Notamacropus eugenii: one gene and its partners. The protein of the gene in region 3 purifies or fractionates together with the protein of the main gene of each other region. This does not show direct contact. Links are inferred from orthologs where the notes say so. Each region holds a gene or a part of one and is shown on either strand. Other genes may lie near its edges. The genes, in order: POLR3B, GPN3 and POLR3E.

What was found.
Region 1: the proteins of POLR3E (region 3) and POLR3B purify together in Homo sapiens (affinity purification with mass spectrometry; 8 studies listed by BioGRID and IntAct, counting the BioPlex papers as one, with this or other methods). This does not show direct contact. The link is inferred for Notamacropus eugenii from reciprocal best matches to the Homo sapiens genes POLR3E and POLR3B.
Region 2: the proteins of POLR3E (region 3) and GPN3 purify together in Homo sapiens (affinity purification with mass spectrometry; 3 studies listed by BioGRID and IntAct, counting the BioPlex papers as one, with this or other methods). This does not show direct contact. The link is inferred for Notamacropus eugenii from reciprocal best matches to the Homo sapiens genes POLR3E and GPN3.

The regions. Positions count from the first base shown.
Region 1 is NC_092874.1:288,740,538-288,748,249, reverse strand, and holds the start of POLR3B (DNA-directed RNA polymerase III subunit RPC2), read right to left. Parts: upstream 3,085-7,712; 5' UTR 2,960-3,084; coding exon 2,888-2,959; intron 1-2,887. UniProt on the Homo sapiens protein: Catalytic core component of RNA polymerase III (Pol III), a DNA-dependent RNA polymerase which synthesizes small non-coding RNAs using the four ribonucleoside triphosphates as substrates.
Region 2 is NC_092875.1:35,917,191-35,924,406, forward strand, and holds the start of GPN3 (GPN-loop GTPase 3), read left to right. Parts: upstream 1-4,127; 5' UTR 4,128-4,316; coding exon 4,317-4,364; intron 4,365-7,216. Other genes in the region: protein FAM216A, read right to left, coding at 3,321-3,403. UniProt on the Homo sapiens protein: Small GTPase required for proper localization of RNA polymerase II (RNAPII). May act at an RNAP assembly step prior to nuclear import.
Region 3 is NC_092874.1:396,629,016-396,637,108, forward strand, and holds the start of POLR3E (DNA-directed RNA polymerase III subunit RPC5), read right to left. Parts: upstream 3,035-8,093; 5' UTR 2,952-3,034; intron 2,688-2,951; exon of another isoform or gene 2,549-2,687; intron 1,034-2,548; 5' UTR 954-1,033; exon of another isoform or gene 950-953; intron 1-949. UniProt on the Homo sapiens protein: DNA-dependent RNA polymerase catalyzes the transcription of DNA into RNA using the four ribonucleoside triphosphates as substrates.

The DNA of each region.
Region 1 (7,712 bases), about 110 Mb from region 3:
TGGAGCAGGCCTCCCACCACCACCTAATCAGTGGCTAATTTTGGCCAAATCATGAACACCCCAAGAAAACACAGGAGCTCCATCAGTCACCACCACACTATCCATATGTGGAACCATCGATTATAACAAATGGAGAAGTTTTGAATGCTGTGGATAAGTTCACTTACCTTGGTAGTGTACTTTCCAGGGATGTACACATTGACAATGAGGTTGATGCACACATTGCCAGAGCTAGCTCAGTGTTTGGGAGGCTCCAAAGAAAAGTTTGGGAGGGAAGAGGTATTAGACTGACTACCAAACTGAAGGTCTACAGAGCCACTGTGCTGACCTCACTGTTGTATGCCTGTGAAACATGGACAGTCTCTCAGCGTCATGCCAGGAAACTGAATCTCTTCCATTTGAACTGTTTTAGGAAGATTCTGAGGATCACCTGCAGGATAAGGTACCAGACACTTAACTCCTTGCTCGAGATGAACTGTCAAATATTCAAACTATGCTTCAAAGAGCACAACTCCAATGGGCTGGCCACACTGTTCGAATGCAAAATACGCTTGCCAAAAAGACTATTTTATGAAGAACTTGCATGGGGCAGACGATCATCTGGTGGTCAGAAGAAGCAACACAGGACACTCTCAAGGTCTCTCGCAAGAACTTTGAATTTGATTATGCAACATGGGAGACACTGGCACAGGATTGTTCAGCATGGCATGCCCACATCAGAAAGGGTGCTGTGCTCTTTGAGCAAAGCAGAACTGAGACAGCACAAAGTAAATGTAAGATGCAAAAATTTGGGATATCCACCCCAAATATTCACACAGACTATCTGTGCCCAACCTGCAGATGAGCATTCTGAGCTCATATTGGTCTGATCAGTCACAGTCGGACACACTGAAATTTCACTTTACTATGGTGATGTCATTTTGGTCCTCTTCAAAGATGACGGTCAACAACCACCACCAACCTTGGCCATGGTCTATTTAATTAACATCAGTACCATGGTAATGGGTACACATCCTCCTCCCCTGTAAAATGTAATATCTTAAGAACAAGACCCAGTTCATTCCTTTGTATCCCTTTTACCAGGCTGTCGACTGACTAACGTGAGACACTACAAGTACAGGCTGAGAGAGGCACTAGACAGCTTATTGAAAACACCTTGGAGCTCAGTGTACTGAGAGTTCAACAGGTGTTCCAACAAGTGATTTACAAAGCAGATCTAAAACCCTCAACCCAGTTATCTTATCAAGAGCCTACCCAGCAGCCTGGCCCTCTAAGGCAGAAACATTACACTGCCCTGTCTCCACTGATTGTCTCATCTGACCAACTATTGTAGACAAGCAAATCCCAGCAATGCCTTACTTAATTCCCTACTTCCACTCATCTTTTGTAAAGCAACTCTGTGAACACATCCTTGCTTTTGTATTTGGAAGCAGCTAGGTGGCTCAATGGATAAAGCTAGGTCTGAGGTCAGAAGATTTGAGTTCTAATCTGGTTTCAGACACTTAACTAGTGGGCTAGCCAGTAGTTAACCTTCTTCCTCTGTAAAATGGGGATAATAATAGCACCTACCCCCCAGCACTGTTTTGGGAATCAAAGGAGGTATCTGTAAAGTGCTTACCACAGTGCCTGGAACATAGTAACTGCTAGCTATTATTATGGTATTTGACTCCTCAGGGCTTAGCATAGTGCTTGGCACTTTATAAGTGTTTAAAAAATGTCTTTTTATTCATTCATCCTCATAGTACTCTATTGAAGTCAACATTGAACTTTATCATGGTGATGTCATTTTGGTCCTCTTCAAGAACGAAGGACAACAACCAACTCTATTAAAGTCAACATACACACCAACTAAGGCTGTAACTAAATGGATCGGGTCTCCTGGTGACACATGCGTCCAATATGACGCGATCAGCAAGGGCTTATTAGCTGAAAGGGGTGAAGAAAGAGTCTAGGAGACTGTAAAAAATGCAAAGGAGTTAAGGCCTTCTTAGTCATACTTTAAATTTAATTCTCTAAATGAGAACTCTCCAAACCTGGGGAAGCTAAGTAGGTAAACAATTGCCCACCAACCACTTCAAACATTATTTTCTTCTCTTAAGCACATTATGTGTAGGTTATTTATGTATCACATCTCCCTACTGAGAAGAAGGATGGAGAGAGACAGCCTAGGAACCTGAAAAAGGAGGCCGGATTCAAAAACATCTTGCCTCTGACCCTGAGTGTTGTGGCCTTAAAATCACTTAAACTCAATTCTCAAACACTACAAGCTGCAGGGAAGAAGCCAACCTGCAGTGGTAGTGGGAGCTGTCTCATCCAGTAGTTTCCTACATCAGGGAAATCTAAGTTCAGGTCTTAAGGGCAGGAAACCTTGACTAAACTTTGTCTTTGTCCCTCGACCTGACAGACTTATTGAGAGCCCCAAAGTCGATAAAACGAGTTTTCCGTTGAAGGTAAAGAGAGATCAATGATTTGGTTCAGACAAAACTGATAATGAAGTAGGAGAAAGCTGAGCTGATCATGTTATTTTTTCTTCCACTTTTTCTACCCAGGAAAATGCCCCTCAAGCTGGGAAGTCCAGGAGGACGACCCTGCGGGAGGTGCAGCTCCACCCCACGGGGCAGGACCAGGACGCGTCCGAGGTCTCCACCGCCTCCCGAGCAACTGACTAGGGCCTGACAGCCCGGGAAGAAACCTCGTGCGCAAAGGTGTGGGCGTGGGCGCAGGCGCACTCAGAGCCCCAACGCCCGTAGAGGGCGGGGCGGAGTGCTCCGAGCATGCGCCCTAGGCCCTGGAGCACAGCCCCAGCTACATTCCCTGACTAGCCCGGGCGCCCGAGGAGGGAACGCCCCCAAGCAACACTCACGTCCGGCTCCTTCGCTTCACTCACCTCCACTGTAGGAATGGGAGCGGCCACCTGCTCCGGAGTCAAGTTCCCGAACTCCTCGGCTAGCACGTCCATGGCTTCCAGTCGCCACTGCTACACCCACCTCTGCGACCCTAACGGCGGCGGGCGGACCGCTACGAGCGTGAACACCCGGCAGTGCAGCACCCAAACCTTTCCCCCTCGGCCAGTGCACCACGCCTGACGGCGAAAAGGTTCCGCCTGCTTTTAGGGACCCTATGGCGTCATCGGCAGGACCCGGATGTGTCTTCGGCGGAGCTCCGCCCCCTGATGAAGTCACAAGCCCCGCCCATTCCAGGGAGCACGCGCGGAGGGGGAGGGGGAGGGGCGAGGAGCCTTCCACGTGGCGTCCCCAGTCTGGGCTTAAGTGCTACGTCTCCTTTCCCAGAAAAACTTCGGCAAAGGGAGACTTCGTCCTTTCGTCCTGCCCAGACGCCAGCGCCTCCAGGAGGCCCATCCTTCCCATCATTCTCCCAGCTGAACGTAGTGGATGATTATAATATAAATATATATCATGAATAGCCCTAAGTTCTGAGTTCAAACCCTACCTCCAGGTGCCCCCCAAGGTGACCCTGGACAAGTCACTTATAAAAATATGTACATGTGTGTAATGTATGCCCGTGTGTAATATAATATAATGCCTCACATATGTATGTGTATATATGTCTAAGACATGGGAGAAATCTATATGATCTAGGTGTGTGTAATAATGACACGTATGTGCACTTTGTAATAAAGTTATAGTACATGTAAGATGTGTGTAATGTGTTTGCTCTAATGTGCGTGTGAAATGTATAAATATAATATAGGGGGTGTGTAATATGTGTGCAAGCTCTATGTATATATGTAATATAGATCTGTTTATGAACATTTGTGTATGTACATATATACATTATATATTGTCAGATTATGTATATATGTAATGTGTAATGTAAGATATATGTTATGTTTAATATATAGTATGTGTATAGAGCATATATACATATAATATACGCTATACTATATGACAATATATATAACAATAATATGGTGTAGTATATGTAAGATATGTCTGTGTTATATGTATGACAGGTGATATGTGTGTATATATACATGTATAATGTATGTATATGTGTGTCTTATACATATATGTATATTACATATATTCTACTGCTGTGTGTATATACACATATATGTTCACATGTAATATCTATCTGGGCTTCAGTTTCCCCATCTGTAAATGAAATCATTATTCTCAGTCACCTCTAAGCTGCCTTTCAGCTAGGCTTCCTTGAAGGCAAAGTGCATAGTAGATACCAAGGCAAACTTGTGTTCGAATCTAGCCTCACACACATAACTGTGTTTCTCCATCTGTAAAATGGGGGTAATAATAGCACCCACCCACCTCAAGCCTGACATACACTTAATACAGGTTTGTTGATTATTTGAGGACCATGGAAATTTGCTGTGCCATGCTCTTTAAGCATCATTCTGAAAATGTTTAGAAAAACAATGTTGTCGTGAGGTACAGATGGAAAACCACATCAGAATGTCTTCTCCAGCATGGACCTAGAGTAAAATGATGAAGGAAGATGTCTTTCAATCTACAGCCTCCCTTTGGGGGAAAGGGGGGCGCCTTGGCCTCTTTCATCACCCCCAACATCATCAAGGTTTGCCTCGTGCCTTCTCTGCCACAATCTGCCTTCCCAAAAATATCTGATCAATTCAGTCACAGCAATGGGTTAGATGGTTAGATCCAACCAATATTTATTGAAGGCTCATCAGTTCCTCACTGGAGCCTACAGAAAGATGTGGTTCCTTTAATCAGGTCGCTTCCAGTAACGATTACTGTCTAGGGTAGCTGAATCCAGACAGAATATAGAGTTGGGTAAACAACCTTGAATATGGAATTTCAAGTATCAGTGAGCACTTGGGGAGACTTTTTTTTCCTAGGTATACTTAAACTCTTGAAATCCTACCAAGGAGAACTCCAAGTACCAACCATTGAATCTGTGGGTCTGGGTAGGAAAAACTATGAGTTCATTTCCCTCTCCTTGCATGGCTGATTTTGAAAAAGGCTTTTGTTTAAAAGGACCTTGGGTGACTCAAGAATTTCCTGGAGCTCTCCATGATCATTGGCTTCTTTCCATGGGGCCCACTCCAACATCCTGACGAGTTTCCCGTCAAACGGAAATCTTGGTTTAAGGTGATGAGGCTGGAAGTCTTCGAATATCAATAAGATATCCATTTACTATAGAAATTCCCAAGACATCTGCAGATGTTCTCTTTTCCCATAGAATCTAGAATGTTATGGATAAAGAAAAGAAAGCAGAAAAGATGACAGGCTGCCAACTCCATCCTGTCTTGACTTTTGGAAATCTCATCTAACTGTAAAGCTGCAACTCAAATGCCAGCTCCTCCAAGAAGCCTTCCCTGATTTCTCTTCCCCCTCCCCATCAGAAAGTATTTCCATCCTCCTCCCTTCCAAAGCATAAGATCATGGACACAAAGGTAGAGAGGACTGCGGAGGTCATCTGGTCCAGCTCCTTCATTCTACAGATGTGTAAACTGAGCCCAAAAAAATTTAAGTGACTTGCCCAAAGTCACACCAGTAGAAAGAGGCAGCATTCGAACCCAGGTCCTCTGATTACAAACCAATGTGCTAGATTTGGAGTCAGGTAGAAGAGGAGTTTCAATCCTGCCCCAGACACTTATTAGCTACATGACCTTAGACAAGTTATTTAACCTCTCTTAACCTCAATTTCCCCAACTGTAAAATGGTAATCGTAATGGCACCTACCTTCCAGGGTCAATGTGGAATGAATTGAGATAATAGATATAAAGTGCTATGGAAATCTTAAATGACTAGAAAAATGCTCATCCTTCCTTTGATTTTTCCATACTCCTTGCCATTTCAACGCAGTCATATACTTACATTACATTCTCATCTATTCCAAGGCTGTTGCATAATCTTGCATACTTGTGGCTTATGCTCCCCTACTAATTAATGACACTGAGGCAGTTAATGTCACAGTGCACAGATCCCTGGATTTGGGGTTCAAATCCAACCTCAGACACTTGCTAGCTGGGTGACCCTGAGCAAGTCATTTCACCGTTTGCCTCCCTTTCCTCATCTGTAAAATGAGATGGAGAAGGAAATGGCCAATCATTCCAGTATCTCTGCTGAGAAAACCCTAAGTGGAGTCACTGAAAGTCAGATAGCACTGAACAAAGGACAAAATTCGGCCAAGTCCAATAAGGCTCAGCCCCTATTCCTCCCCCATGGGTCCATACCTGGAATGTTCCTCCTCACCTTGGTTTCTTGGAACCCCTGAGGCCTGGCATGATTCACTTCAAGTTTCACCCACTACCACAGTCTTCACTGATTTCTCCCTGGTTGGTGAGTGCCCGCCCCCGCCCCGAACCACCCGAACCACCCCAACCATAGGCACCCAGGCAGGTGCTCAGCACAGATGCCATTGCACCCTAGGTCTGACCTAAGTCCAGCCCTGTCCCCACCACCCCAAGCCCCAAAGCAGAGACACGTGATGAGAGTCACTTGGAAAACAGCAGATGAGACTCCTGATGAACCAGATTCCTCACCTCTCGACAAAAAGGGCATGCAGAAGGAGACATACATTTGCAGACGTTGCCACGGCATAGATTTTTTATTTTGTTTGATCATACTTATTCATTACAAGTTTTTGATTTTATTTTTTTAAACTGGAAGGGGAGAGCAAGGAAATGGGCTCCTAAGTGTTATGGCCAAAAGAAAAAAGAAACAAAGGGCCATTGAAGTATTTTTTTTAATAGACAAAAGAGAACCAAGGGAAATTCAGAGGAAGACACAGAGAGCAGGACAGCTTTGAAACTACATAAGGAATTTATTATTTTAAAATGTGAGCTCATTCCAAGTAGGGATCTTTTCAGTCTTTGTACCTGTATTTTTAACTAGAATAGTTGGTGCTTAACAAACGACTGATTGAGGACATACTTTCTAAAAAACCAAGTTGTATATAAGAGATTTAGAGTTTCATATACAATCCTCCTTTTTCTGTTCTCTTCTGTATATGGAAATATCCACAACTGTTGGCATCTGTCAAATAAAGAATAACAAAAAAACCAAAAATGACTAAAACAAAAAAATAAAATAACAAAAAAATAAAATTTTAAAGAACAGAGAAGAACCTGGTGGTCTACGTAACAGGAAGATGATGATTACCTGATTAACCGAGGCTTAAAGTCCCTCAGGGTCAGCAGTATTGGATGAGTCCCTGAAAAGCCCTCCCCCCATGAAACAGACATACCAATCATTTTTTAAGTCAATGCTTTAATATTTAACTGAAAAAAAAAAAGAACATTGCCAGCTTGCATGGAACAGGTTCTTGCCAAAATTTTCAAAAACAGAATTTATGCAATACATGAAAATATTAGTTTTACATTTAATAAACCTTATATAGCAAAACTTGACCATGTTAAGAAACTTTAAAATGGAAGCCAATGTTTAAGCAATCTTGGGATGAACTACATCCAGGAAGACGGGGACTGAGACACCTTCGTCAATGCAAGTTGCCTAAATCCAGAAATAAATTCATTTTGTCACTTTTAAAAAATAAAATGCCCTTATTTAAAAATGTAATTTTTTTTAAAAGTGTACATTGTTATTTTTTCTTGTGATATAAATTAAGTGCATAAAAGAATCACAACTGGATTCAAACTTTATGGTAAAAACATGTTTTTCTTTTATCTCCCTGTTTTAAACAGGATGGTCACTTACTGGAAGAGATGAAATGTGATTTACTGGAGCTGTATCTTCTAAGCCCTTAATGTG
Region 2 (7,216 bases), on a different chromosome or scaffold from region 3:
CTCTGATTTTATACCCAAGATGTATAGGGGAGGCATGTAAATATATAAGACCTTGTATGTGAATTTTATATATGTAATTATACATATGTACTGTTATAAGTCATAAAAACACATATATAATAATTCTTTAATATATAAATTGTCAATGGATATGAATGGTTATTAGAAGAAGAAATGAAAACTGTTAACAACTATATGAAAAAATGCTCCAAATTAAATGTTAAAGAAATTAAAATTCAAACATGGACCAGAGTCTCACTGCTGACTCTCTAGACTCCCTTATCTATGGTGCTAGAACATCCTTCTCACCTTGGCACGATTTCCCACCAGCTCTACTGCCTTCTGGTTCCCTGGAGGATCCCACTCTGCTCCTGTGGCCCTGTCCTCAGTTGGGTGGTTTTAACTGAAGACAGGTACTCTCTTTCTGCTTCTATATTCCCAGCACTTAGCCCAGTGCCTAGCATACAGGACACACTTAGGAGATGTTTGTGCACGTACTGGCCAATTTCACTTCCTATTCATCATAATAGATACAGGTAGAAAATACTGGAGGAAGTATGAGATGACAGGTCCAGGTGGAGCTGTACATTGACCTAGCTGTTCTGGAAAACAACTTGGAATTAGGCAAAAAGAAAACAAAAAGTCACCAAGCTGTTCAGAATGTTTGACCTAGCAATCTTCTATTTGTTATGTATCTCAAAGAAAATCAGAGAAAGGAAAGTCCCAAAAGAAATATTGCTGTGCTAATATTCACAGCAGTATTTTCAGAGTCTCAATACAGATCTAAAGAAAGTAAAACCCATTGGTAAATGGCTGAACAAATTGTGGCACGAGAATGTAACAGACTATTACTGCCCCATATATAATGACAAATATGGGGATTGAGAGAGATATGACTTCCTTATTAGAACTGTATAAGTTGATACAGAGTGAAGAAAGCAGAACCAGGAGAACAGTATGCCTAATGACTACAAAAAAGGAAATGAACAAACGCCAAGACATCAAAATTCGTATTAAATGCAACAACCAATCGTGGTTCCAGAAGATGAATGATGAAACTAACACATTTCTCTCTTCTGAGCAAAGAAGATGTTGTGTAAAGGGTAAAAAACAGTCACTTTGTGAGTTGGGTTTGTGGAATTGCTCTTATTTTAAGGGAGAAGGTATCAATAAAATTTTAAAAAGAAAAAAATACCTATAGACCTTGGAATGTGGAATTTTCTGATGTTACAAATGTTTGCATTTACTTCTAAGTTATATTAAAAATGTATTCCTTTACATTCATAGGTTCAGGCAACTATGGAGAATGTTCCACGGAGGGTCCGAATGGAGGAGGGACCACCAGATTCTACTGTTTGTGGATAACACTGTCCTAATTATATCAAAGCCTAGAACTGTAAAATAAAATGAAAAGACAAAGAAAAACAAAACAACCTCCCCACAAAGATCCATAATAACTCAGAAGAGGTCAACATAATAATCTATAGAGGAAAAAACAAACAGATGAAAAATGGCTATCGTCCAAACTGTGACATGCAGTTAGATGGCGTAGAGATGGATTGTGAGTTGGGCCCGGAGGTTCAAGCTTCTACTATAGTGCATTAAAAGGGGAATTGTTCTTTTATTATTATTATTTGTATCCCAGTGCTTGACATATTAAATCCTTGTTGAATCACTAGATTGAATTACATTTTGAAAATTCCAGTTTCTTAAGGATCCCAAGCTGTTCTCTCACACACACATATACATGCTCTCTCTCTCTCTCTCTCTCTCTCTCTCTCTCTCTCTCTCTCTCTCTCTCTCTCTCACACACACACACACACACACACACACACACACACACACACATACCCCTTTCTTTTTAGAAACACAAATGTTCTCTCTGAACCAAAGAGTGGTGAATCTTGGAACACAACAACCTCTAATGAATCATAGTGGTTGATGACTCCAAGGACAATGGAGAAGACAAAGAGTAGGCTAAGTCAGTTACATTAGGATATATGCGTAAGAAGTGACATAAAGAATATACTCTAGGAAAAATATAATCAGAAAAGGAAATGGGCTAGCTATGTCCTGAGAGTGAGGCATGGACAACTCCGAATTGCCAGCAAAGAAAAGTATATTTTTAAAAAGGCCTAGAGGAAGACCTCCTGTCCAGTGGATGGATCCTCAGTCAGTCAATAAGCATCCATTAAGCAAATCTATGGAAGAGTATAGGATGTAGAACAATCGGTTGATGGGATGTTATCTTTAACAACAGAAATAATACTAATGTCACTGAGGTATCAGCTCTAATTAAGCACTGACATATTATACAGTTTCACTACAGCTGTACCTAGGGACCTGAAGGGCAACCTACTCTAACCTTCTCCGTGACTATGTGAGCCTATGAATATAAAGGAATAAATTTCAATGTGATTTTAAACAAATGCAAATACATTTAACACCCGAAAATTCCACATTCCATCACCCAAAGGTGTTTTTTATTTTTTATTTGTAGGTATTTTTCTTCTTCTTAAAGTTCTATATTTGTCTTTTGTTTTTAATCTCAGTGACTTCTTTGTAAGGATGAGGACCCACCCCCCCTCCCCAGAAGTCTTGTCTGTCCCTACACTGAGCTACCTGGAGAGCTTAAAGGCATAAACCTTCGGTTTGCCAGGGGAAAGATCCCAGGGGATGGAATCAGGAGTCAACTAAAAGTAGCCCTTTCCCTCATTCAACAAACTTATTAAATGAATGAATAAAATATAATTAAAAGCTATTTCAAAAAGAATTTATTTTTTATTATCTCATCTCTCACACAAGGATTTTCCTCATTTTCAAGAAGGCAAAAGAAATACACAATCTGATGTCACACAGCCCACCCCAGGGACCAGAACCCAGGCGTCTCGCCTCCCAGGCTATTGTCTTGAGCGCCTGAGGTTTTCTATGCCGCTCTTATAGAAGCTGACCATCCCTGCCTATTTTTCTGTGGAAAATGTAGCCTGGTGACCCAGCGCCCCCTCGGGGTAGAAGCCTCCACCGTGGCACCCACCCAGGTGAGTCACTGCACCAAACGCCTGTGCGGCTGCTGGGAACCTTTCCCCAGCCCCAGGCCCCCGCCCCCGTCTGACTGTGAGTCAGTCCTTTCCCCATCCTCCCCAGCAGCAAGGGATGCTCGTCCACCCTCTGCAAGAATCCTCTCCTCCCTCTTCGCCCGTGGCTTATCCATGCGTGGCCAACGGCCCTCTACACCACGCCCCGCCCGGGGCCGAGGAGAGGGACACGGACTGGCCCCCGTCCCATCTCTCGGTGCAAGCCTGCGGGGCCCCGAGCCTTACCCGCTGCTCCCGGCTGCAGCGGACAGCTCGGACCCTCCGCCATCCTCCTTCACCCAGAGAGGCGTCTGCATCTGGCCCGGCATCTTCTCCGAGGGGGCCTCAAAGGCGACGTCCAGTGCAGGGAGGGAGGGAGGGAAACTTCCCCCTCTCCTCCTCCGGGTTTCAGGGTGCGTGCGTCAGGCCGGGGAGGTGTTGGGCGGACAGGGCGCTGAGCCTCCACCCCGACCACCTGCTTGTCTGGATCCTTCCCTCCCTCCCACTCTTCCTGGGGCTCCCGCTGGCTGGGCTCTGGAGGGGCAGGGGGGACGCTGGTCAGGCGCGGAACGCTGGCGAGGGGCACGTTGGCATCTTTCGGGGCTGAGGACGCCCCGTAAACGGGAGGAGCGCGCGCATCCTAAGCAGGAGATGACGCCCGGTGCATACTGAGCACGGACGTGTGGGCACGCCTCTTTACGGGATCCCTTAGCTGGAAATATGATAATTATTACTACTATTATAATTGTATTTTAAAACATTTAAAAACCTCCCAGCTGAGCTCTCTGTTCAGAACATCACCCCAAATAGCAATGCCCAGGATCTGCCGGAAGCCTGGCTAGGCGGTGGTTCCGCCGCAGCCCCAGGCAGGGATGCGCTCCCGCCCCTTCTGCAGGTGGATGGATGGATGGGTTGGTACAGAGTCAAGCTTTGTGCCTGGATCCATCCTCGTCCATTCTGCGCCTGCGTGCCTGGCGAGCCGCTAGGCAAACCCAAATTGACCTCAGCGTCGTTTCTTACTCTTTAGGAAGCATGGCCCTCTTGAAGACCCATAGCAGGAGGCGGGGTTGTGTATGCTAGAATGGGGAGGGGAGAGAGGGCCGGCCCTCGGTTTCGATTGGCCCTCCCGCCCTCCGGAAGTCGAGTCGCGGACTGTGCGCCCTCAGAAGTTGCCGGGACGCTCTTGGCGTGTTTCTTCTTCTTAGGCTCCGTCGGTAGCCGCTGGGGCCCACGAGGGTCAGTATGCCTCGGTACGCGCAGCTGGTGATGGGCCCCGCCGGCAGCGGAAAGGTCAGTGTTGGCAGGAGGCTGTTGGAAACGGGGTGGAAACTCTAAGATCCCCTGGAATGCTGGGAGCCTTAAGATGGGGACACAAGCCACACAGAAGCTACAGCCGCCCCCAGACTCGAGGGGAGGAGGGGATGCCTGGGAATCTAGCCACCTAGCTGCCCCTCAGTGTAGCTAATCCTTTGATGGAGGTAGAGGCATCAAACCATAATACCCAACCTGTTGTTTTGACCAGGACTGGTTCAGAAACTGCCCTCTTAGTGTTCTAGGGAACGCAAATATAAACATTAGAGAACCCGAGATAATATTAAACTCAGTGAGCTCTTATTAGACCCCTGCTGTATGCTAGGCACTTAGTAGGGGCAGGGTGGCACAGCCGACCTCGAGGGTGGGAGGACGTGGATTCGAGTCCTTGCTTTCTGGCCCAGGCTGGTTGTGGAATCCTGGGCCAGTCGCCTCTCTACCGAGGTGGAGGGCACGACCGCCCTGGGAGTTCCAGCCCCACGCTATCCCTAACCAATTCAATAATCGATCCATCGATCGACTTTTATTAAGTTCCAAGTATATGACAGGCACTGTGCTAAGCACCAGAATGCTAGAGACCCTGGAGATATCAAAGAAGGCTGGTTCGCTAACATCAATACGAGATAGATACTCTCCTAGCTGTGTGACCATGGGCAGATCACTTCCCTTCTGTTGTAAAATTGGGGTCCAAATAGCTACCTAGACCATATGGTTGTTGTGAGGCTTAAGTGAGATGAAACCATAGATGGAATCTTAAAACACCCAGGGAAGGTCAGTTACTGCCCTGTACTAGGGGGGCCTTCCCGTTGGATGAAACCTACCTGGGGTTTGTTTTTGGTGGGGACAGACAGCCCTGGAGACGCTGAAGGCACTAACCAGTTTCTACTACCTAAAGATTTTTCATGCTAAGGTCAGAGCAACAGAAATTTAGGGCTGGAAGTGACCTTAGTCCAACCCTTTCGTTTTTCGGAAAATGTTGAGACCAGGACAATTATAAGTGACTTGTCCACACCAAGAGGCAGAATTTGAACCTAGGGTCTTCTGACTTCAATTCCAGTTCTCTCTTTTGCTGCACTGCTCTCTTGTTGGAAGGACCTCAGTTCCAAACCTGGCTTTGCTACTTACAGGCTCCCAACCTAGGAGTCATTCTGGATTCCCATTCTCTCATCCCCCATATCCCCCATATCCAAGCTATTACCATAGTTTGCTGGTTTTACCATTGCAGCATCTCTTGTCCATTTCACCTTGGTAGCATCTCTAGTTGATTTCACCTTTGCAACAGCTCTGGTCAGTTTCAGCTTTATAGCATCTCTTGTCCATTTCACCTTTGCAATATTTCTGATTGACTTCACCTTTGCAGCATCTTTCAAATATACCTCCTTTTCTCTTCTGACCCTGCCATCCCCCTAATGCAGGCTCTCATCACCTCATATCTGGACTATGGCAATAGCTGCTTTGGGGGTCTGCCTGCTTCCAATCTATCCTCCACTTAGCTGTCAAAGTGATCTTCCTAAAGTACAGGTCTTGTATGTCACCACTTGCCCTGGTACAGGCTTTCATCACCTCACACATGGACTGTTGCAGTAGCTACTGGTGGGTCTGCCTACCTAAGGCCTCTCTTCATTCCAATTCATCCTCCATTTTGCCACCACTAAAGTGATTTTCCTAAAATTCAGATCTGATCATGTCATCTTCCTATTCAATAAATTCTTGAGAGTTCCTTTTGCCTCCAGGATCACAGTATCCTCTGCTTGGCCTTCAAAACCTACTCCCTAATTATATTATGAACAGCTGGTCCAGCCTATGAATGAATCCAAAAAAGTCTGGACCTTTATGCTCACACTTTTGCCAGAGAGCCCTGTCAGACCAGACAGCATCCTGTCCAAGTTTTGTGCTATCATCTTGTGTAATTCATTGGGGAAAAAGAAAAAGAAAGAGAAAGTTGCAGATAATCTAAAATATTTTCTGCTAAACGAAACACCTGTGGCATCAAAGTTTATCTCATTAAAGAACAGAAAGTTGATTTGTTGCAGCTTTCCAGACATACAATTCACAGATGTTTCTAGGTGAAGAGGTATTGTGTTCAGAATATCAGAATCTGAGTTAAGCAAATGGCCTTCACCAACATGAATGAATGTGCAACCCAAGATCAAATAATAGGATGAGCCAGGTGACCAATAGTAGCGCTGAACTTAGAGCTTTCTACTAGAATATGGCAGAGCCTTTCCCCTGTCCAACAAAATAAAACACAGTAAAATTTTAAAAATTCATTGCAGATAAAGGGAATGAACTAGAGGTGGAAGCCCTTCTTCCACTCTCAGCATCTTAGGAGAATTCACCTATAGAAACACTTGTGGAAATAGATGTAGACGAATAGTGTGGGAATTAATCAGAATGGGAAAGTTAAAATTACCCGTGTTACTGACCTCAGTGTAGATGGGTGTTCATCTTTCGTTGCCAAAGAAGACCATGCCATCAGAGAAATAATGACATAACTTGCACTTGACTTTGTTTCGAGTGAGGGAGGGCTGTGCAGGTCACCAGTCTCACTTTCTCCTCCCAAGTTATCTGGATCCAGTGACCAGATATTCATCAGGATGAGGCAGTTGGGGTTAAATGACTTGCCCAAGGTCACACAGCTAGTGAGTGTCAAGCGTCTGAAGTGAGATTTGAACTCAGGTCCTCCTGACTCCTGCACTGGTGCTCTATCCACTGCACCACCTAGCTGCCCCTCAGTGTAGCTAATCCTTTGATGGAGGTAGAGGCATCAAAGCATAATACCCAACCTGTTGTTTTGAGTAATTTTAGTTTTACTGCTGATTTACCATTCT
Region 3 (8,093 bases):
AAAGACTGGAAAGACAGAATATAGGGAACGCCATCAGACATGTTTCCTGTGTAAGTTTTATTTAACCTTTTTTTAATGTTATAAGAGAAGGCTCACTGAGCGGAAGGCTAGAAAGTATATCTGGAAATGGCTGTGACAGAAAAAAGCATCAGAAATATGAGGGTTGGTTGCTGTCATTTAAAGAAGGTGCATCACCAGGATGACCACATGATGATGAACTTTTTGGCCATATCAACTCAGGGGTTACAGATTTGCTGAAGTGGAGCGAACACCCAAAGAGAAAAAAAAATCATAGCTCAGAGAAACAAATCTACATATAGTCCTCCTCATCATCTATAAAAAGGAGTGTAAACTCATAGAATCCCTCTCTTCCTTTGTAATGCTACCCAAGAACCAAGTTCCAAATGTAGCCTTTCCAGATCCTCTCAATTATCAGGGTCCTCCCTGCCAGACTATACAGTCATTAACACTTTGTATCTTTTCTCTTCACATTTACACTGTATCCTTGGTTTTTTTTTATTCTTAGTATCTCCCTCAGTGTCTTCACCGTTGGCACTTAGGAATGAATGAACTAGAGAATACAAGAAGAAATAAAACCAAGTGCCCAGCTGTATGGTACACACACTTCTACAGGGGATAAAGTGCTCAAAAGGAAAGAAGGTATAATGGAGATTCAGTATTCAGCTACCCTTCTGCTATTCTCTCTTTCTGGGGTTTATATTTGGATGTTTCTACCTTTCTCCTGAATAGTCAACTCAATGTACCACCTTAGTAACCACTTTTCCACCCATCCTAGCCAGGAAAGCTTAAGTTTTTTTAAAAATCTTTTCCCTTTATTCAAAAAAACAAAAACAAAACAACAACAACAGAAAACAGCCTCTTCCCAGCCTCATGAACCCTCTGTCTCCAAGGGGATCTTGAAGAGACAGAAGGCCTGGAGAGCACATACCTACCTGCCCAGACGGGCAGATGTGGGTTTGCCCTGGGAGCCGTACACCAGCAGCCAGGTTCTCCTCTCAAATGTCAGTACCAACTGAAAGAAAAAGAGGCATGAAGAATAACACAAAAAATAAAAAAAAAAAACAAACATCCTGTCCGCGGCAACTCATAGAAATTCATAGCCAGGGCCACTGCCCTTCTCGTCTGGCTCTCTAGCGATCTGCTTTAGGTCTAGACTAGTCAGACAATGAAATCAGCCAATTCTAAGTTACCAGGAATGGAGAATTTACAGCATGACACCAAAGCTGGAGCAAGCTCAGGGATGCTGAGATCTCCAGAAAGGAAGTAGACCTGTTCCCTGCCATTCTCATAAAAGCCAGAGATCCAGAGTTGAGGTCAAACTATCTTGCCCTGGTCTCCTCTGACTCTCAGCCATTTACAAACCTGAATACTTTGCTAGTGTTAGACGGCTTGACCTCTAACCCTAGGAAAGGTGAAGAATGGGGAATTTCTGCTATTACTCCACATTTGAAAATGATGCAAATATTTTTAAGAAATCATGAAAACTGAAATGGGCTCCGGGAACTAACATGGTCAGTAATCTCAAACCCGGAGACTGGACCAAAGAACAATTCTCCAGGATTAAGAGGGGATGTGTACATGTACTTTGGGGAGGGGAGCCAGAAAGGAGGAAATCCTAAAGAACCAGCCTGAACCAAGGGGGGCATCGATCGCACAACCTCTAGGGTTTAACGATGGCAAAAGGGCAGAGCTGCCACAAACTGGCGGCATGACTTTGAACAGGTTGGCTTCTCAATAAGAAGAGGTCATTGGACCAGAGAGTGCCAAGGCCTCTCCCGGAGGTCCAGGATTCTAAGGTGATCCTTGGGTGGAAGGATGGTAAGATGGCAGAAGGGCAGCTCTCAGGGAAGGCTACCCCGAGGGGCGTGCTCTCCACCTGTCCATGCCACCATCTGCTGGGCTCTCTTTCTAAGGTGCTGCCAACACCACCTCTGCCCCAGGACCGCGGGAAGTGCCCCGTCCCCACTCTGACTCACTTATTTCTTCCCCAAGTCAGCCCCCCACAGCTGTCACCGGCCGTGGAGACCTAACCTCTCAAAGGCAGGTGTCTCCAGGAGAGGGTGGCACCGCTGGGTCACCTGGAGTTACCCACTGCCTGCTGGGTCAATGGGCAAACTCGGCCTCCCCAGTTCCAAGCCCCCCATCTCGAGGATGGGGGTCCAGCCCAGTGGGAGCCCCCCCACTCCTGCCCTCCCACCCCCATCCGCCGGCCTCCGCACCTCCTGGAGCAAGAGCGCCCCGGGGTGTTGGGTCAGAGGATGGCCAACCCCCGGGAGACCCCACCCCCGACCGTGGGAGCGGCAAGGGAGCCACCCCGGGCGCCTCCCCACAGCCCTGCACAGTCACCCCGGTCGCGGCCCCCCTCTCAGGCCCGCCCTCCGGGACGCCTGGACCTGGGCAGCCGCAGGAGCCCGCTCCGGGCCGGGCCGGGCCTAGCCCCCGAGCACGGCCGCGACGCCTCCTCCGGCTCCAGCGCCGCTCCCCGAGGACGTCCCCCGGCCCCCACGACAGAAAAGCTCTCACTCACCGGGCCCGAGGACGTCGGGGAGGGGGCGGCTGCAGGGGGAGCGGCAGGGACGGGGGAGGAGCGGGAGGAGGAGGAGGAGCGGCGGGAGGAAGCAGGAGGCAGAAGCGGCAGCTATCTCCGCGAGCTGCAGGGGCGGCGGCGGCGGCGGCGGCGGCGGCGGCGGGCCCAGCTCTCTCAGGCAGCAGCCATATTGCTGGTAAAACTCCAGCAGACACGTGGGGGGAGTTGGGTCCTCCCCCGGCTCTTCCTCTTACCCACAATGCCCCGCCCCGGAGCGGAGCAGAGCGGAGCTCTCCCCACTCTCCGGGCCGCACTTCCTCTCCGGACCAGCAGGTGGCGCCGAGGCACCTCCCCCTTTCCTCGCCTTCTCTCCCTTCCGCCACCTTTTCTGCACCACCCCTACCTCGGTGCCTGGAGAGGAGCGGCCCTTCCTCGCCTTCCTACCACCGATAACTTCTGCTCGCAGGCCGCAGGTGGCGCTGGAGCGCGGGGGAATGGGGAGAACCAAAAAAAGCCACTTTCTGGCAGCGGTGGGATTCGAACCCACGCCCCCGAAGAGACTGGAGCCTTAATCCAGCGCCTTAGACCGCTCGGCCACGCTACCTAGATACAGAAGGCGGCTTCTTGAGCTCTAGTCAATCTATGACAGTGAGTTGTTTTGTTTTTTTTTTTTTGTTTTGTTTTTTGGACGCTCTAAGAGTCAGAGCTTCCCGGAAGTAGAATTCATCCTCCTCCAGCTTCCGGATTTTAGCCCTCCGTCTCCTCTCTTGCGCCTCCCTCCCAGACCGTTAGTCCCCGGAGGACAAAAGCGGCTTCTTTTCGCGTCCTTCGGGCCAAACTCCAAGCCTGGTGTGTCCTGGATCTCGCGTGGAATCGAGCTGTCCGGTAAAGACTGACTTGTTGTTCTCTCTTTATAAATAAAAAATATACATCTTTTTAAAAAGTGCCTCCCATTTCTTATGAATGTCTTGTTTTAAATCTCATATTATCTCTCTTTTCCTCCCCTCCCCTTTACCCAGAGAGACAAACATTAGGAAATAACCAGCCGGCTCCGCCACCCCGCGCGTGGGTGCTTGTCCCCTTCCGAGGCTGGGAAGGGGGAGCCCTTCTGGGGCAGGTCTTCAGGGCCCTTTCACAGTGTTTTCCATTCGCATGACCGCACTCATGTGTGCTGTTTTTAGCTTACCCCATCCCAAATCAGACAGCTCTTCCTAGCATTCCCAAAAGGAGAACAGTAAAAAGTAAAGGCCATGTGACCTTTAGAAAAATCTAAGTTAGAATAACTGAAGTTCCACTTCTAGCGAAGATGACGGAAGGCAGAAATGGTTGATGTTCAAGAGGCCGGGAAAAGCCAGGGACAGAGCGCGCTGTCAGAGGAGCTGCGCGGCGGCCCAGCCGTGCTGGAGGGCGGTTTGGAATGATGCTGAAATTGACCAGAGTGGCCACACCTCGGCGCCCTGACAGCCCCGCCGGCCCAGGAAGGGAAGCTTGCATGTATCCAAATGGTCAAGCGGCACTCTGCAGCAGGGAAGAATTGGACGCAGGGACCACCGTTTGGAAATTTGTTTTTGCAAATGTGGCACATGAATGTAATGGAATATTATTGCCGTAAGAAAAGAGGAATATGAAGGTCTGTGAGTGGCTCTGTGAACTTCTCATTTGATTTGGAAAGGGATGCCCTTAGGTAAGGTAGACACTGTGCCGTTTGGCTCTGGTTCCTTGATTAGATGAAAATACTTTCTGTTGGGATCCTCCATCAGAACAGGGTGTGAACAGGGCCTGTGTACCTCTTTGAATCAATCAAAGCCATTGTGTTAGAGACTTCCTTAAGAAATTTGTATGAAAGGAAGAAGTCAAGACAACAAGCATTGATTGAACACTTAATTGTGAGATGTTGTGTAAGCCTATAAAGAAATGCAGATCTATCTATCATCTATCTATCGATCATCTATCTATCTATACACACACACACACACACACACACACACACACACACACACACACACACACACACACACATACATATATATGACTTGAAGGTAATCTCAGAAGGGAGGCATTAGCATTGAGGGATATGAGACTTCTTGACTTTTACCTGAAATTTAAAGAAAGTTAGGCAAGCCAGGAGGAGAAGGAATATCCCAGGCATGGGAGACAGCCAGTGAAAGTTTTGGCATTAGGGAGATGAAATAGCTTGTTTGAAGAACATCTGTCTGAAAAAGAGAAATAGATTTGGAGCAAATAGGGGAAAGGAAGAAATAATCTGTACCAGAAAAAAAGAAAATAAAGAGGAGAGTTATTGGTTCAACAGGCATCACAGAGAGGAGGAGGGCCCAGGCTGAGGGAAATCCAGAGAAAAGGACATCTCTGTCCCAACTTCCCTTGTTGAAGCCACAGTCACTATAATATTATATGATGTTTCATTACCCATATTTTTCCAGTAAACTGAATTTTGCCTCACCTGCAAAGAAATCAGGGATTAACGAAAGATAGACTTAAATGTAATAGAGTAAATGTGAGGCAGAGAGTATAACTCTGCCCAAGTGTTAGGGATTTTCCTAACTGGGGACTCCAGAACAATTATAACTGAACTCAAAACTTGCCATCTAAAACAAATTCCATAGTACTAAAGGGGATTTAACAAAGCAAACAAAGAAGGTACCAGGTGGACATTTGGGGCCAATAAATTTCCCCCATTTCCCCATAAAATGAGATAATTATTGTGAAGAGGTATTACATCCTGGTTGGTACCTTGATAAATGCTTGAGTATACCAAAATATTATGAGAGGATAGTTCATATTCATGTGTGTATGTATGTATACATATACATATACATACACACATATATTCAATTCCAATTCAATCCAATAAGTTTATATTAAGTTCCAGTCACTGTACTAGGTGCTGGGTATACAAGGACAAAAAGGAAACAATTCCTGCTTTCAAGAAATTTATAAGCCAGCAAATTCTTGACAAATGAAAAGTACATATATACAGATGATCCCCATATTTCGAGTTTAGACAGGCTGAAACCAGCCACTCAGAGCTTCCCAGAGAGCTGATTAAGCTCTAGTTGACCTACTTCATTACCCTAATTTCACAGACCTGTTTGAAACTGTCAAGCTGAAATGTCCTCAAGTCAAAAATGAAGCAGAAGCCAGAGAATATAGGAGGGTGACTCCACTCCATAGGATGAGTTAGGGCTAAAGCTTGAGTAGAATCCAAGCAGAGTTCCCTGTGCTCAGTAGACTAAAGTAAGAATCCCTGTCTTTGCTAAACTGGAGTTATTAAAGAAAAATATCTAGGGGAGAATCTGGTGATAGAGGCAAGGAGAACAGAGGAGATAGGGGTCATTGCAGGGGTGTGCTGGAGCTAGTGTTTGAACTATTTAAGTTTGATTAAATTTTCAGTGTGAGAATTTATGCCTCAGAAATCAGCAAATGCTATATATTTTAGATCTTGACCTATTGCTTTATTGATTATCTGGACTTAAGAAAATGATAGAGAAAGTGTTAATACTGAAAATTAAACTTGAGTATGTTCTATGTATATTTTTTTAGAGAGCAGATTGTTAAACACTTAACAAGAGGATGTAATGGCACACATCTTTTTGATTTTGAGTTGTGGGAATGACACCAGAAACTATCCCTATCCCATTCTTCTCTGGATCTAATCACACTCTATTCTAGCTTCTTAGGCTACTTCTGAGCTGCTAAGGAGTGTCTGAGAGCAAGGACTTGACTTACCTGTTTTGAAATTAGCATGAAATATATAGTTGCACAAGTCACTATAATGAGACATCATTGTCACCATGCAGGCAAGAAATGACCTTGTGATGGTCGAAGCCCAGACATAATAAGGGAAAACCCAGCCAGGGCAATTTTGTTATTCAGGTCAAGCAAGACACGGAAGGAAAGAAAGGGGAATTTATTAAGTATCTACTACATGGTCAGGCCCTGTGCTAAATGATTTGCAAATATTATCTCATTTGATCCTCCCAACAACCTTAGGAGATAAGTGGTATTATTAACTCCATTTTAAAGTTGAGGAAATAAATAAAATAATCTTGAAAAAAGAAATAAGAAAAATAAAGTTGAGAAAATAGAGGGAAACAAAGGTTAAATGACTTGTCCAGGGTCCTACAGCTAGTAAGTGTCTGAGGCTGAATTTTACCTCTTCAGGCCCAAAGCTCAATCCACTCTGCCATTTAGCTCTTACCATCATGTCTCAATTTACATGAGAGAGGAAAATTCCTTAAAAAAAAAAGAAGTCATGTAAATCAAATGGAATTCTTTGACTTCACTTCTGATTAAACCCAACACTTTAGCTTTCAGTTTCCCTGCTTTTTCCTCTACTCTCCTCCTATCCTACAGCCTCCTTCAAGTGATTATTGCAAAAACAAGCAGTGAACTACTCTCCTAGATGAGTTTTACAGTAAAGATGCCTTTTAAGATCAACATATATTTATTGAACACTTTCTAGTGTGCAACTGTTGAATGCAGTGACCTAGGACTGTGAAATGCAAAGATATGTGTATCATACAATCTCTGTTGTTCGCTAGCAACAACAATCTTAATACACTATTCAGATGTTAGTTATTAGTATTGCCATATCAAGAAAATAATTAGTCCCTCATTTGCCTGTTTTTAACATAAAATTTTATTTGAGTCTTTTAAAAAACATATTTCCCACAATATCCTCCTTCAAGGAACCATCCTTTGTCACCAAGAAAAACAGTTTAAAAAAACAACAGACAACCAGCCTTGTTCGCTGCTCCTGTACTCCCCTACCTGAGAGTTATTTAAGGGAGGGCTATGTTCCTTCATTTGTGCCCTGGACCCAATATTGGTCATTAGCTGTAATTATTTTACCTGATTCTAAGCAGTATTCTGAGTTTCCTTTACAAAAAAAAGCATGGGGAGAGTCAGTCAACAAGTACTTATTGAGTTCTTACAATGTGCTAAGCACTACACAAATAAAGAAAAGCAGAACAGAGGTCCATTCCCTTAATCATGAAGGTAGTTGCTCAGTGGAAAGAATTTCTGGCCTGCAGTCAGGAAGACCTGAGTTCATATCATATTCAGATACTTACTACCTGTGTGACCCTGTTTAAGTGATTCCCCAAATGGAGTCAAGAACAGTTGGAAGGCCCTGGGATAGTGTTGGAGGAGGACTGAGAAAGGCTTCCTGCTGATGGTGGGATTTGAGCTGCATCTTCAGTCTAAATCAGGAGGCAGAGGGCATGTAATTTAAAGATTTTCCCTGACAATTAATGGGCCTCAGATTAGGGGAGGCTTGTTTTGTAGAAAGGCTCACATCTTTGTTAATTGCTAATGAGGCACTGGGTCACAAGATTGTGATGCCTTCTGGCTCTGAAAAGTGTATATATACTCTGAGGTGAGGTTTTGCTTTGAGGGGCTTACTCTTTGGAAGAAGGTTCATGTTCCAGATGAGACTCTGAGTAGCCTTTAAGGAGCTCCCCCAATCTTGGCTTTGAAAACTCACATGTTGGTGCTTCTCCCTCTGGTAACTATGTATGTATGT